Notamacropus eugenii: one gene and its partner. The main gene of each other region encodes a partner of the protein of the gene in region 2 in a complex. Links are inferred from orthologs where the notes say so. Each region holds a gene or a part of one and is shown on either strand. Other genes may lie near its edges.

Evidence for each region. Proteins that work in one complex are often made in the same cells at the same time.
Region 1: POLE2 (region 2) and POLE4 share a complex: the UniProt entries of both Homo sapiens proteins name them as parts of the DNA polymerase epsilon complex. The link is inferred for Notamacropus eugenii from reciprocal best matches to the Homo sapiens genes POLE2 and POLE4.

The regions. Positions count from the first base shown.
Region 1 is NC_092872.1:630,209,557-630,217,849, forward strand, and holds the start of POLE4 (DNA polymerase epsilon subunit 4), read right to left. Parts: upstream 3,522-8,293; 5' UTR 3,475-3,521; coding exon 3,232-3,474; intron 286-3,231; coding exon 201-285; intron 1-200. UniProt on the Homo sapiens protein: Accessory component of the DNA polymerase epsilon complex. Participates in DNA repair and in chromosomal DNA replication.
Region 2 is NC_092872.1:309,331,197-309,339,289, reverse strand, and holds the start of POLE2 (DNA polymerase epsilon subunit 2), read right to left. Parts: upstream 3,119-8,093; 5' UTR 3,061-3,118; coding exon 2,993-3,060; intron 1-2,992. UniProt on the Homo sapiens protein: Accessory component of the DNA polymerase epsilon complex. Participates in DNA repair and in chromosomal DNA replication.

The DNA.
Region 1 (8,293 bases), about 320 Mb from region 2:
GAAATTTTCATTGATACCCCCATACTCCTTACATTTTGCCACCACTCCCCTTTTGCCAAGCACCCTCATTTCCTGGCCCACTTTGCAACCCACCTCCCCACATCCTGAAGCTAACAGACCTTAAAAGTGGGCATTTCAGACATGTGACCCTGTCACCCTCTGGATAGGTAGAATGAAAAACAAACACAATGAGACTTTACCCAGGTCTTTCCTCTGGAGAGTTTTCCTTTTCCCTTGTTGGGCAGAGAAGTAGGCATCTCTTGCAATTGTCTCCACAAACAGTTCCTGTGGCAAAAGTAAAGATCATATAACTGAGGCCCAGCATGAAGTAGGAGAACTCTGCTTCTTGCTGACAAGTGAAAGCAGGCAGAAGGTCAGAAGGTGAGAGAGAAGAAGAGGGAGGTGGTCAGTTTTAAGACATCAATACAACCTTATTCAACACTCCTTCCCTGTTCTTACTGACTCCTTATCTAATTCCCCATAGTCACTGTTCTAAACTTCTCCTCTCTCCTCAAGCCCCCAATCATACACATAACCTCAGCATTTACAACAGGTAACAGCTTTCTACTTTACTGAGAAGATTAAGGCTATCAAATGGGTTGTTGTCCAATTGTTTCAGTCATGTCTGACTCTTCGTGACCCCATTTGGGGTTTTCTTGGCAAAGATACTGGACTGGTTTGCCATTTCCTTCCCCAGCTCATTTTACAGATGAGGAAACTAAGGCAAACAGGGTGTGGCGACTTGTCCAGGGTCACATAGCTAGTAAGTGTCTGAGGCCAGATTTGAATTCACAAAGATGAGTCTTCCTGACTTCAGTCCCATCACTCCATCCGTTGTGCGACCTAGGTGCCCTATGACATTGGAGTGCCTTTAAATTCCCTCTATTACTCCTCAAAGCTTCTGAGCATCAGCACCCATTCTATCTTCCTCCCCTTCATTTTCAAAGGAAGATATATTTATTTTTTTACTAAGGCTAGTCTTCTAGCCAGTGGACTTGATCCCATAACCTCCTGCCTCTAGGACCTTATTCTCGAAATCATTCCTTCTCTCTCATGGATTTTCAATATCTCCCTTTCCACACATACTCCCCAATCCTAGAAAGCTTTCCCTTGACCCTTCTATCCCATCTAGCTACTGCATTATCTTTTCATCCCTTCAAAGTCAGACTTGATCCTCCTGCAATCTGGCTTCCAACCACAGTATTCTATTAAAACTGCTCTCTCAAAGGCCATCAATGTCCTTGACCTCTCTGAAGGATACAGCACTGATTGACACCTTTCCTATATAAATCCCTTTTCCTCTTCCTTTAGTTTCAGAAACACCACTGTCCTGGTTTTCCTACTTCTCTAGCCACTCTTTTGTCTCCTTCCTGGCTCCTCAATCTCTTCTCAGCTCTTTGAGGTATGGAAAGGGAGAGAGGAGGGTGCCTGATGAGGTTTTGCGCTTAGCCTTCATCTTGATATGCTTTCTCTTTTGGCAATCTCATTTACTCCTATAGAATTTCAGAGATTAGGTAAGTCACAACTTTTGAATGCCAGAAGTAACATACTTGAAGAGTACTAATTGTAGAAAAGTTGCTGATAGAGTAAATATCCTCAGCAGAAGTTCCCTATATGAATGAAATCAGAAATGCCAAAAAAAACTTTTTTAAGAGAGTGGTGGTAAAGGGCGAGAAACAAGGAACTATTCTTGGCCCTAGAGATACCGACTTAAGAAAATTAACAGTCCCTTCCTTTAAGGAGCTTATAACTTACCAGAGACTATAGCATGAATACTACTAAGTATATAAAGTAAATACAGAGTAAGATATCCCCACAAGTACTCATCCAGTCTCTCTGGGAGAGCTCCCAAGGGGCAGAGCCTAATACTTCTTGAAGTAGTCCATTCCACTTTGCACAGCTCTAAAACTGGTAAGTTATTCGTCACCTCAAGTCTAAATTTGCATCGTTGAAATTTCTACCTTTTGCTCCTAGTTTAGATCCCTGGGGCCAAAGAGAACCCCTGATCCCTCTTCCATGTGACAGTCATTCAAATACTTTATGATAATTATCACATCTCCCACATGTACACCTTCTCTTCTCTAGACTAAACCTCTCCAATTCCTTCAAATAATTTTCACTGGACATTAACTTGAAACCACTCAGCATCCAAGGTGTCCTCCTTTGGATTCTCTAATTTGTCATTGTCCTTCCTTAAAAAGTGGCACCTAAAACAACTTATTTTGGAGAAGGAAATGGCAAACCACTCCAGTATCTCTGCCAAGAAAACCTTAAATGGGGTCACAGAGTCAGACACAACTGAAAATGACCGAGAAACAGAATTTAGCAGTATAGCTATCATAGAAAAATCCCAAATTGATCATCTCTACCCTTCATTTCTCTCCCAGCCTCTGGTGTCTACAAATAAGATCTTTTTCAGATCTAAAACCTGTAAATTGCCCAAGGGACATCTGCCCCTGAGTGTCCCGACAGCTGCTCAAAAGCAACATGCACAAAACTGGAATGACATCTTAACTCTAAAATCTGCTCCTCCTTCCAATTTCACTGTTCCTATCAAAACCTTGGTGTTATCCATCTTTAATTCTTCCCTGTCCCTCACCTTCCGCATCCAATCAGCTACCAAGTCCTGTGCACTTAATCTTACACAGCCCCCGTTACCACCACCCTAGATTGTTACTCTAGGTCTTTCCCCTTAAGCTCTCCTCCTTCACACTGCCATCAGATTCATCTCCCTTATCATGGAACACAGACCACAGTCAGGGAATTAGAAGTCACTGAGAGTGGATAGGGGAGGAACTGGTCCTGGAGTCAGAGAACCCAGGTGCAAGTCCCAGCTCTGCTGCTTCCCACCTGCACGATCTGGGGAAAGTCTTTCCACCTCCCTGTGCCTCAGTTTCCTCTCCTGCGAAATGAGAGGATTAGAGCAGATGGCTCCTGAGGTCTTCTCCAGCTCTAGAAGTGCAGGAGCCCTCCTCATTTTACAGATGAGGAAACTGAGGCTCAAAGAAATCTAAGTGATTTACCCAGGATGGCACGGCTAAAAAGCGTCTGATGTGATTTTTAGACCCAGGTTTTCCTAAAAGGTTTTGCACCAAGTTTGTCCATGGATCTCCCCGACGCAGCTGGTTAGGCCCCGCCCCCAGCTCCACCCACTTCCACTAAGTCCCTCCCAGCCCCGCCCCTAGCTCGCCAGGCCCCACCCCCAGCTCGCCAGGTCCCGCCCGCGCGCACCGCGGCGCGAGCCAGGATGAAGATGGCTTCCTGGCCCGCGAGTGTCACGTCTGGGTCCGCCTTCACCAGCGCCTTCACCCGCGCCAGGGGCAACCGCGACAAGCGGGGTGCGGCCGACACCGCCGGGGCCTGCGGAGGAGGGGCCGCCGCCGGCGCTGCCTCTCCACTGGGGCCCTCCTCCGCCACTGGCGCAGCCGTCGGGCCGATCGACCCCGCCGCCGTGGCCGCCGCCGCCGCCGCCATCCCGAGCCCCTGTGCGTGCCGCGTGCGCGTTCCTCTAGCCGGGGCGCGAGCGCGCGGGCGCCTGTCCTTTTCCCGCCCTGGATCCCCTCTGGCCCCGCCCCTTCTTGCCGCGTGTCAGCTCCAGCCCAGCCCCTACCACCTCCAGGGGAGCGGCTGGGCTGCATTACCGTATTTACTGGTGGCAGTGGCCGAATCCTCCTCCAGTCGCTTTTTCTGTCTTATCGTCCTGGCCCACCTTGAGGATCAGCCCACCGCAGGACGCCTGGGTTTCTCAACCATTTACGAAAATTCAGCCGTCTGCGCTAAATGCTGAGTTTAGATCCCAGGCTGAAACCTGAAAGGGTCCACTTCCTTGTTTATTCATTCATTAAACCCCAGTTGGCACAGGGGGAAACTGAGGCCCGGACTAGGGGAAATGATGTTCAAGGTCACATAGCAAGTCAGCGTCGGGGGAAAGATTTAGAGCAAGGCCCTTTCCACCGCACCGAATTGCCCGACAAAACAACGCCCTTGCCCTCCTGGAGCTCACGGCTCTGGTAGAGGGTCGAGAAATAAAAGTCAATTGTTTTTAACTGTACGTAAGGGCATGGGATAGGTTCTAAACAAAGTGCTGTGTGAGATGCCAGCGCCAGGTCGGTGGGGAGGGTCGGAAGGTTCAGGGAAGACTTGCTGTATGGTCTGGCCTTAAAGGAACTAAAGTAAGGATACATTGTTTCCAGGCTCGGTGAAACTTTCCACAAGTGCCCAGCTCAGGTTCTCCACCCTACGGAGTGACTGTGTGTCAATCCAAACCCTCTGAGCTTCTGCCCAGTGCGGAGGTCTGCATGGAGAGAAAACCATGTGGCCATCAGGAAGCCCATGAGACAGGTTCTACACAACACCTGGAAATCTTTCAACCAGCCCAAAGAAATTAAGCGCCAATGGAGCCCCTTGGGTGCTGAGCAAACAGAGAAAGTGGTGACCCTGCAGGAAATGAATTTTGAGGAATGTCTTCTTTCATCTCTTAGACCTTCCCACTGTTACAAATTTCCTTTCCTGTTTCTATCTCCCGCTGATGGGCTGCTTGGGTGCTTGTGCTTGGACCCCAATTCCAAGATCACATTTCTCCCTAGCTTCAAAACGTTATCCCTCACGGTTTTCTCTCCAACCCAAGGACACTATGCCTAGCAAGAACTCATGAGTGGGTCGCAGTAAGACGAACTATTTCCCCCCACAATTACTCATGAGTGGACTCCAGTAAAACAATCTTTCCCCATCACAAGAACAAGTTGACCTCTGAAGAAATTCTCTTGTAAAAACAGGACTATCTTGTAATCACAGAATTATCATGTATCAATCCCAAAGTTATTATATTCAATCCACAGGTCAAACTACACACATCAATTCTCAAAGCTATCTTACTAGAGAGTAACAGACCAAAAATACATTCCTGAGAAACCCCTTCCCCTGGTTTCCAGTAGTGGATGACCACAGTTATAAGTTGTAAATTGGCCTATGATAAAGGTTGTAAATTATCACCTAATTAGCATATCTGCCAGATAATCCACTACTTTTCCTATGTAAACTTTAGCATCATTCATGCTAAATTGCAAGTTTCTTAGGGAATACAGGTTCCCTAAAGGACTCTGCCCAAAGCATTACAATAAACCTTTGTCACCTTGACTTAAAGAATGCTTGAGTCCAAGAATTCATTACAGACAACCCTTTCCTGCACTTCAGTCCTTAGGGGGGAGGGGGTGGTCCCTAAACCTCTTAAACCTGCCGCCACCTTCTTTTGTTCTTTTCATTGTCCTTTAATTTAGCATGGTTTAGGGGTGCAAGCACTAGATATAAAGTCAGAGGACCTGGATTCAATTTCTGGCTCTACTGTTTGCTGTCTTTGTGACCTCAGAAAAGTCTCTGGGTCTTAGTTTCCCCTCTGGATAGAACTGCTTTGTAGGCACAAGAATTCTCAGGATATACAACACCTGAGGGTTTACCTCTATTAACATCAACAGGAAATCATACCTTCACAAAACTTATGTGAAAACTAGGTTTATTACAAGAAGAATGAACATGCATATGAAAATCAAAGCAAGAGCAAACAATTCGCAGTCCTTACAAAAGTTTTCATTTTGATAATATAAGGCCAAAGGGAGGAGGTGATACCAGGAAGGGGAGTGACATGGAGAGGGCCATGACATCAGGAAGGTGAACTTAGCCGTATTGTAAAAATGTAAGAAGTTCTGTGATGATATGCTTTATGAGTATTGAGGAAATAATGTTACTGTCTCAAAATTTTCATTAACATCTTCCATATTTTTTTGATCTGTTGCATATTTATAAGGTCAGCCACAAACTAGAGGTATTTTTTTCAGTGCAGGCTTCTTTATTGCAATAAATGACTTTTTTTCTTTTAAATTTCTTTGCTGTACTGAAAACAAAGAGGTCAAGGCCGTTAGAACACCCAGCCCTTAAAGGCTATAGTCTCATAGCATCAAGCCTCAGATGGTCCCCGGCACTTCCCAGATCCGTTTTTCACATAGCCCAGGGATCAGGATATTCAAGTAAGTAAATGACCCATAGGGAATTATTATTTAACTCATCTTCAATCAGTAGAGTTCAATCAGTAAAGCAGATATCCAAGGCATAGATTTAGAGCTGGGGGGGACCGTAGAGTCAATAGTCCATAAACATTTTTGTTGTTCAGTAGTTTCCAACTCTTGCAACCCCTTGGACACCAGACCCTTCTGTCCTCCGCTGTCTCTTGAAGTGTGTCCAAGTTTGTATTCATTGCTTCAGTGACATTATCTATCTCATCCTCTGCCCTCCCCTTTTCTTTTTGTCTTCAATCTTTCCCAATATCAGAGTCTTTTTCCATGAGTCCCATTGTCTCATCATGTGGCCAAAATATTTCAGTTTCAGTGTTTGACCTTCCAATGAATAACCTTTAAATGTTGATTGATTTGATCTCTTTGCTGTTGCAGGGACTCTCAAAAGTCTTCTCCAGCACCATGATTGGAAAACATCAATTCTGCGGAGCTCAGCTTTCCTTATAGTCCAGCTCTCACAGCTATATGTTACTACTGGAAATATCATGGCTTTGACTAATAGGCCTCTGTCAACAAGGTGATGTCTCTGCTTTTTAGTATACTGTCCAGATTTTCCATAGCTTTCCTTTCAAGGAGCAAGCATGTTTTAATTCCATTGTTGCAGTCACTGATTGCAATGATTTTTGAGCCCAAGAATATAAAATCTGACACTGATTCCATTTCTTCTCCCTCTATTTGCCAGAAACTGATGGGACCAGTTGCCAAGATCTTAGGGATTTGGGGTGTTGTGTGTGTGTGTGTGTGTGTGTGTGTGTGTGTGTGTGTGTGTGTGTTAAACTTTAAGCCAGCTTTTACACTCTCCTCTTTCACTCTTATCAAGAGGTATCTTAATTCATCTTCACTTTCTGCTATTAGGCTGGTATAATCTGAATATCTGAGATTGTTGCTATTTCTCCTGGCAACCTTAATACTGGTTTTTGATTCATACAGCCTAATATTTCACTTGACATATTCTGCATATAAGTTAAATAAATAAAGTGACAATATAAATCCTTGTCAAACTCCTTTTCTAATCTTAAAACCAACCAGTTGTTCCATGTTCAGTTCTACCTTGCTTCTTGGCCCACATATAGGTTCCTCAGGAGATAAGTAAGATGATCTGGTTCTTACATCTCTTTGAGGACTTCCCACATTTTGTTGTGATCCACACAAAGGCTTTAGTGTAATCAATGAAGCAGAAGATATTTTTCTGGAAATCCCTTACTTTCTCCATAATCCAGTGAATGCTGCAATTGATCTCTAATTCCTTTGCTTCTTTGAAAACCAGCCCGCTCTTGCCCAGTATCGTATTGGATACTTTCTGACCTAAGAGGCCAGATGTCATCTCTTTTATCTTAGTACTGTCCATGGGGTTTTCTTGGCAAAGATCCTGGAGTGGTTGACCATTCCCTTCTCCAGTGCATTGCCTGATGTCAGAACTTTCTACTATGACCTATCTGTCTTGGGTAACCCTGCATGGCATAGTACATACTTTCAGTGAGCTATGCAAACTACTCCCCAGGGGGAAAATAAACGTTAATAAGTGGTTAAACACTGGTGATACAGATAAGAGAAAGAAAAACAATCCTTGTCCTCAAGAAGCTTATATTCTAATTAGGGAAGAAAATGGCAACAAATAACTGAAGGGAGACGTTTGTGGGGAGGGGGGTTATAATGATCTTGGAGTCCAAACCAAGCAGAGCAATTGATAAGAAATAAAATTAGCTGGAAGATTTTGAACCCTCCTAAAGAGAAGTTTGTTGTTGAATCATGTTCAACTTTTTATGACCCTATTTGGGGGTTTTCTTGGCAAAGACACTAGATTGGTTTGCCATGTCCTTCTCCAACTCATTTGACAGATGAGGAAACTGAGGCAAACAGGGTTAAATGACCTGCCCAAGGTCAGATACATGTCTAAGGGCAGGCTTGAACTCAGAAAGATAAATCTTCCAGACTCTAGGCCCTGCACTCTAGCCATTGTACCACCTAGTTGGGAAAGCAATGTTTGAGGAGTTTATTCCTCTATCCTCAGCCCTTCAATCAGAGGGGCTGCACCTATATAAAGTAAATTTTAAAATATATACAGTGTAAGGGATAAAGATCTGTGAATTCGTTGGTCTAGTGAACTGCCAGATGGGAAAGCTCCTTGTACCATCGTAGGCTGGTACAGATTCTGTAGATTGTAGTCTTAGAATGCTGCCTAAAGCTTCCCAGAAAAAGACTTGGCAACTAATTAGAAATTGAGGGAA
Region 2 (8,093 bases):
GGCACAGAGAGTCTGTGTGAACATCTGTGGTAGACACTCTAAATTTGCACTTCCTATGCTTCCTTTGTGCTGTCTTAATTCTGCTTTGCTCATAGAGCACAGCACCTTCGCTGATGTGGGCACACCATGCTGAGTGGTCCTGTGTCAGTGTCTCCCATATCACACAATCAATTCCAAAGTTCTTGAGAGAGACCTTGAGAGTGTCCTTGGATCACCTCTTTGATTGCAAAATCTACACTAGCTTCACAGTTCTCCCCTGCACTGCAGCCACTCCAGAAAAATGTGTATCCAGTTCTGACTTCACGTAAAATACCAATACCACATCTCCAGAACCCTGAACCCAAAAACCTAGGGACCAATGACATTAAAGAAGAGGCATTAACATCTGTTTTTGCCACTGCACTCTAAGGTCTACAGGATTTTTCCATCTAATTTGCAACTGAAACTTTCCATGTGCTGTGTCCCCCATTAGATTGTGAGCTTATCCCCAGTACACATAGTAAGCACTTAATAAATGCTTTATTCATTTGTTCTGTATAGAACTGAAACTGGGGATCACCCAAAAGGGGGATGAAATGGTAGATGATGGGCCTATATAGCCTGTAATACATTACAAACAAAAAACAAAAAAGGAGCAGTATCAAAGGAGTCATCAAAGAAATGTATGACCAGAAAAAAAAAATGGCTGGATTCATTTCCTAATGACTAGGAGGGATAACCAAAAGGCAGCCCATGTGCTCCACTAGAATGCATGTAACATCAAGAGAATAAAGTAAGGGTTCCTACACCATTGGATGGACTACCCACAGTGAATATAGGAGTAGCATGTAATGAACAGACATGGCTAAGATTCAGTTGGCATCACTGAATCACCCATGTCCCTGATATTATATATACAATGGAAAATCAGAGTAGTTGAAAAAAATGACGTAGATCAAATAACAGACTTTTCAAATGAGCTTAAAATAACATACTTGATCTTTTTAGACATTTTGCATTTAAGACAAATTTCTTATGACTGGGAATTTTAAACACAGACAAAAATTAAAAGTCAAAAGAAATGCTTTTAAAAAGAATTTTAGAAACAGTTTCTACTTAGACTAGGGGTCAGAGAACTATTTGGTAATTCTGTATAAAAATGAAAACTGGATATAAAAATATTTTTAAAATTCACTTCACCCAACCTCTCTGGATCTTTTTTTTAATCTGTAAACACAACCTGCTAGACAAATGATCCCATTCCTACAATATGTCATATGTTTTCACATATACATACATTTTATCTCACTGCTTCTTCCTCTTAGAATCCCTTCCCCACATCCTACCCATCCTTTTAATGCACAGCTCTAATACCTGCATAAGGTTTCCCCTAATCCCAACAGGAAAGAACATTTCCCCACTCTGAACTTCCATAGTACTTTGTATCTTTTATGATACTTTATCATGTTCTACTTAAAGCAATTATGAATAATATCTTGCATCTGTATAGCACTCTACAGTTTTAAAGCACCTTCATAAACAATCTCACATTATCCATTATACTTTGCAGTCAATATGTTGTACTCTTTATTTGCTGAAAAGAACTGAACCTCGTCTTAACAACAAGATTGTTCCTTATGAGCAGGAGCTATTTTAGACTATTTTTCTTAACCCATTGCACCTAAGAGTGCTAGGATTAGTCAGAATTTAAATAAACACTTGTTGACTTAATTCACAAATTTAAATGCCTATACAACTCTTTAGTTATTTGCGAGTTCACAGTAAAATAATTTAATGCTCCATTTTCTTGGCTTAGCCAAGGTTTTTTTTTTTTTAAATTAGTGTATATATATATATATATGTATATTATATATATATATGCACCCAAAAGGGCTATAAAAAAGTGCAATACCACTTCTCTGTATCCCGAAGACATCATAATGGGAAAAGGGCCCACATGTACACAAATATTTATAGCAGCTCTCTTTGTGGTGGCCAAGAACTGGAAATCGAGGGGATGCCCATCAGCTGGGGGATGACTGAACAAGCAGTGGTAGGGGAATGTGATGGGATCTTATGGTGCTGTAAGAAATGCTGACCCACTGCACACAGCTGCAGCCAGGTTGTGTGATGACCAACTGATAGACTTAGCTCTTCTCTTCTCACAATGCAAGGTTCTAAGACAACTCCAAATGCTCCTGATAGAAAATGCTGTCCACGTCCAGAGAAAGAATTAAGGAGTCTGAAAGGAGATCGAAGCACACTATTTGCTCTCCCTTTTTTTTTTTGTTTCTTCTTTCTCGTGGCTCATTCCATTGGTTTTAATCCTTCTTTGCAACATGACTAATGTGAAAATATGTTGAATACGAATGTATATGTAAAGCCTATATCAAATTGCCCGCTGTCTTAGGGAGGGGGCGGGAAATTTAACACTCAAAAGCTTTGTGGAACTGAATGTTGTAAACTAAAAATAAATATATTTTTTTTAAAAAATGGAATATGGCTGGCCAGTTTGTCCTCTTACAACTCAGTGACTTCCTGACCTATAGAATCCTGTTTGGCTTTCAAAGTCCTTCACCACCTGGCCCGCCTTACCTGTCGGCGTCACTGGCTTCTCTCCGTCTCCGGAATCCGCGCCTTTGCACAGTCTGTACTCAGTGCCTCCTCACCTCTATCAAGACTCAGCTCAGACCCCTGCACTGCAGACGGCCCCTGCACTCCCTCGGCCCTGCGGATCACCTCCGTTTATCCCGCACCTGTCGCTTCCTGTCATTAGACTGGAAGATCTAGGACAGCAGGGCTTGTCCTCTGCCTCGCTCTGTACGGCCAGCACCGGTAACAGTGGGCGCTTAATAAATGCTTCCATCTCCCTCCTTCCTCGGGAAGTCGGACTCAGATTTCCCCAGCCCGGGCTGGGGCGCGCCGAGCCCAGATGGGGGGCCCGGGCGTTGTCCGGACCCGCCTCCTTCCCGCACCCCCCCCCCTTCACCAAACGTGCCCCGAGAGAACTCACCCCCGGAGCAGATAGCCCCGCAGTTTAAAGGCAGAGACCACTTTGCTCCGCAACCGATCCGGCGCCATCTTCGGATTTTGGCGCCAAGGCGGCCCAGCCTCCTTCGCCTTCCCCTCCTTTTCCGCAGGACCCGCCCCCAGCCCCGCCCCTCCCCGGAAGTTGTGCCAGCCCCCGTGGCCTCGAACGGAGCGCTGCAGCGCCCTGTCTGGTGGCCCCTCGGTTCGTTTTGACCCGGAAGCGCTTCCTTTCCCCCTTTAAGAGAAAAGTCCTCTGGCGATGTTAACAAAGGCATGCGTTTGGAACGGGCTGGTTTTAGGGTCAGCTACTAGCCAGACTTTTATTTTTTTAAAGGAAGGCTCATCCTGGACTTCAAAAGAGTGAGACACGGCGCTAAGCTGTTTGTACCTGGAAGGCACTATCATGTCCTCACCTTTGCGACTCTAGAATAGCTGTTTTGTTCTAACTTCAGTTCAGCCGCCACCTTGAACACGACGACCTTCGGGGCGCTACCCCGCCTGCTGGGGCTTAGACCCCTCCCGCCTGAGGAGCTGGCATCTAACGACTTGGGACGACCTGTAGCTTTTCCGTATGTGGGGACAGCCGTGGTCTAACGAGCTTCTAACAGTAGGCCAACAACCCCCTTCGCCACAGAAAGGACGAGGTGTTATTTAGCTAGTTAGGTGGAGTCCGATCCAACCTCCCAGACCAAAGCTTAAGGGAGCAGTAGGCTTACTTCCGGTCTGCTACCCTCCCTCTAGCTTAAAAATTCCGACCTTCCCCAGACTCTTCTTCAGCTGGGCTTTGGATAGCTTGTACTATGTCAGTGTCACTGCTCTCTTTTGGTGCATCTTTAACTTTTCCTTCCAAGCGTGGATATTAGTGCAGGAAAACTTGGAAAAGGTACGGCTCTTAAAGAGAACACTTCAACAGCTGTTAGTTACTGCAGTAGCTGTTGGGGTGAAGAGGTAAAGGATCATTCAGGCTTACAATGAACCAGGCTCAGATGAACAGAAGCACGAAGGAAAGCTACTAACCACTGCTATTAAGGAATAAAGGCTCATCCCACTGCTATTAAGGAATAAAGGCTCATCCCAAGCTAAAGATTGAAAAAAAACCTATTTTTAGCTGGTGAAATTTGCTTTTTCATTCAAGGATATACCAAACCATTGTCAGAAGTCTGGGTGAGCCTATATCTGTAAGCTGCTTGCAAGCAGGGATTGTTTCACTCATATTTTTATCATCAATAGCTAGCACACATAATAGACTCCTAATAAATACTTGTTAATTGATCTTCATTAGACTGTAAGACATACAACCAAAAATGTTTTGGGGATTTTTTTTTAACTTATAGCGAAGCTGGAAATCTTGTCCCTGTTCATTATGAACCATAATAGATTGGTGTGCTTAAAAAGCAGAATCGTTCCAGAATTACAGAAATTCTCCAATGGAGATAAAATACTGCAACTTACAATGTAACACATCAAGAAATTTGTCTAAGAGATGTACATAAACGTTGAAGTCAATGGGCTAGGAACTCACCTGATTTAAACTCCATTGAAAACATATGGACTATAATCAAGTCTAGACTTTAAAAAATGAATTATACACTTACTATAAAAAAGGATGAAAAATTTAAAAGTCCATGTCTTCAAGGAGCTTAAAATCTATTTGTGGAGGGAGGGAGACAACATGAAAACAAACTATGTACAAACCATGTAAATTTACAAGTGTAAATTCTCTCAGTAGCTAGGTGGCATGGTGCTGAGGACAATGAATATCAATGTATATCCTTGAATGAAAAAGAGTGCTGATCTTGAAGTCAGTAAGACTCATCTTTCTGAGTTCATATCTGGCCTCAGACACTTATTAGCTGTATGATCCTGGGCAAGTCACGTAACCGTTTGCCTCAGTTCCCCACCTGTAAGAATGAGCTGGAGAAGGAAATGGCAAACCATTCCAGTATCTTTGCCAAGAAAACTCCAAATGAAGTCACAAAGAGCTAGACATAACTGAATTGACAACAAGCAAGAAACCCCTGTTCCAAAGATCATTGATTGGTAGGGGACACTCGCCTTATTCATGGAGATCCATGCCCTGCCCTGTGTGGACTTTACCAGTCCTCCTTTAGGATTCTTCAGAGACTCTTCAGGTGAGAGCCCTCTATCAAGCTTCTGGTCTTCAAGCTTTGAGTCATTGTGGGTGATTCTGGCACTTAGAAATGAAAAATGGGAGAGGCAGTTCACAACTCAGGCTGCTGAAGGAAAAGACTCTGAGAAGATATGAATGGAAACGGCAGTCTTCATCATGTCCCTATCTCCAGCTTGCTACACTAGAGACTACAGTGAGTTTCTCCTTGGATGAGATCAAGGACAGTCTTGGTGGAGCTGAGTTACCTCACTCCCAGTGGAAGAGCTCTTTCACTCTATATTGTTTGATATGTATTCACCTATTTCTCTGATTTCTGTTTTGCTAGGATTTAGATAAATGAGTTTCTTTGCTATTTTTTATGTGTTTACATACTCCTTAGTAAACCTTAAAACACACACATATATTTACAAGTATGCACATATATATATGAATATATAGACAGATACATATACACATAGATATAAGTAAAGAGAGTGATGAGCAGGGCGTAAGGGGTTGTCCTTCCACTCTCTCTTCCAGAGACTGATCTCTGACTGGCTATTTTTATACTCCCCCAAAAGGAGAGGGGTATCCTTGCTGTGAGGCAAGCCAGGTAAGACTGTGGAACCAGAACGTAGGTGTACAGTATTAGTTCTTTCCTTCCATTTGTCTTTCAGATTTGAACGTTTCCTCCTTTGTAAGGGCAATAATAATAATTAGCATTTATACTTTAAGGTTTGCAAACCATTTTCAAAGATCTCATTTTATCTTCATAACACCTGGGAGGTAGGTGCAATTATTGTCCCCTTTTGAGACCAATTGCAATTTGATAAGGATAACTTATTTGCAATTTGATAAGGAAACTGAAGCAGATAGAGCTTAATTGACTTGCCCAAGATTATTCAGTGAATAAGTGTTTTAGGCCAAATCTAAACTCAGGTTTTCATGACTCCAGACCCAGAGTTCTATCCATACCATCTAGATCATCTGTACTAAGGTAGCTAAGTATTACCTCTTATAGGCAACCTATCCCAAGGCCAAAGTTGATATAGAGATTTGCTTTATATCACAGCCCACGCAGTGATCCTAGGCCCACTAGCCAGGACCTCTCTCTCCCTAGGAGCACCATGGGGGAGAAGGGCAATCCTGAATCTTTGCCCCTTTAGAGGATTCTTCTGAGGGGCTGTGTTCTTCCTTCACGGGGAGTGGGAAAAGACTCTTCCTCACTTTCATCTAGGAACACAATATTGTTACCAAGTCAACTAAGGGATTCACTTTCTTCTATGTAAGTTCACATTAACTATAATTAAGTAGAGGTGGTTTTCCCCATGAATGAGCAAATGAAAAAGGATTTATGAAATGCTTACTATGTGCCAAGCACTGTGCTGAGGTTTGGGGTTATAGATATTAAAAGTAATCCAGTTCCTACTCTCAAGACCTTACCTTGTAATAAGAGGAGACAACAGAAAAGAAAGTTCAGCTACAAGGCACATAGAAAGGCCCAGAAGTTCTCAGGGTGATGAGACAGATGAAAAAAACCAGGGATCCTTAGGTAACATAGATGGGACAGATAACAGTACTGGAGACCTTAGGTGTCAATGTCAGAGAAGATGAAAGGCCTGTTGGTCTTGGCATTGGAAAGGAAGGTACCCCTCAACATCTGTACCCCTTGGTCCTCCAAATTCCTTTCTGAGGAGGCATTGTCTAAACATGCTATGAAACAATTTTCCAAGTGAGGACAACCTGAACCATTGGGACCTCAAACTCTTAGCAGCTTCATACTGGGGATAGAAAAGGTAAAGAATATAACCATGCCCAAAAACAGTCCATCTTTACTGGCTAAGTATTATTAAAGGCCAGGGCCAAAAAACTTCAGGACTGAAAAACTTATTCTCTTTCCTAAGATAGGATCAATTTGTCAAGGATATGACTTCTGAGAGTAAGGACACCAATTCTGCTATTCAGAATTATAATGATAAAGCTACTGTTTCAAGATTATACTTTGGGGTCAGAGCCACAATGGTAGAGTACAGGCTAAGAATTCACCTGAACTCTCCAAAATTCCCCTCCAAACAATTTTAAAATAATGCCTCAAAACAAATTCTGAAGTGGCAGGACCAGCAAAAGAAAGGGGTGAAATAATTGACCAACCCAAGACAACTCAGAAGGTTGATAGGAAAGATCTATCTCACTGGGGTAAGAGTGGAGAAAAGTCTAGCATAGGCTGCACCAGTACAGGCCATGCCCCAACAAGTCAGGAGCAGGTCTTGAGGGCTGTAGCTTCCAGAGTTCTTAGTCCACAGATGGTAAGGGTTTTCAGATAGTTGGTCAAAAGGACATTTCAGGGCACCCTTTGTTGGCCCTGGAGGCGGCCTCTGTTGCATTGCCCATACATGGTTCTGGGTCATAGTCTCAGGATTAGGAGGTGCACTAGCAGAAGCAGAGACCCTGGATACAGTTCCAGGGTATAAAAGAGAGCTTGTGGTCACTTACAAACCAGAAAACAGGCCAGGAGAGCACATCACACCACTCCTTAAACCATACCACCTTGGAAGAACTGAAAACTTGTCAACCCCCAGAACTAGCTCTGAAAACAAAAGTACAAAAAATCTGAAGTTTGGAACAGTGTTCTCTCTATGCTGGGAACACAACCCAACTTTAACACAAAGCTAAAAGTCAAGAAATAGGCTAGAAAAGTGAGTAAACAACAAGAAAGAATCTGACCTTAGAAAGTTACTATTATGGCAGGGAAAATCAAAAGGAAAAAACTCAAAAGACAACAATGTCAAAACAGTGACATTCAAAGTATCAAAGAAAAATATGAATTGGTCTCTGCCCTTTCACCCCCCAATTCCCATAAAAGCTTGAAAAGAATTTTCAAAATCAAATAAGAGAGGCAGAGAAAAAATTGGGAAAATAAATGAAAGTGAGGCAAAAAAATCATGAGAAAGGAGTCAACAGCTTGGCAAAGGAG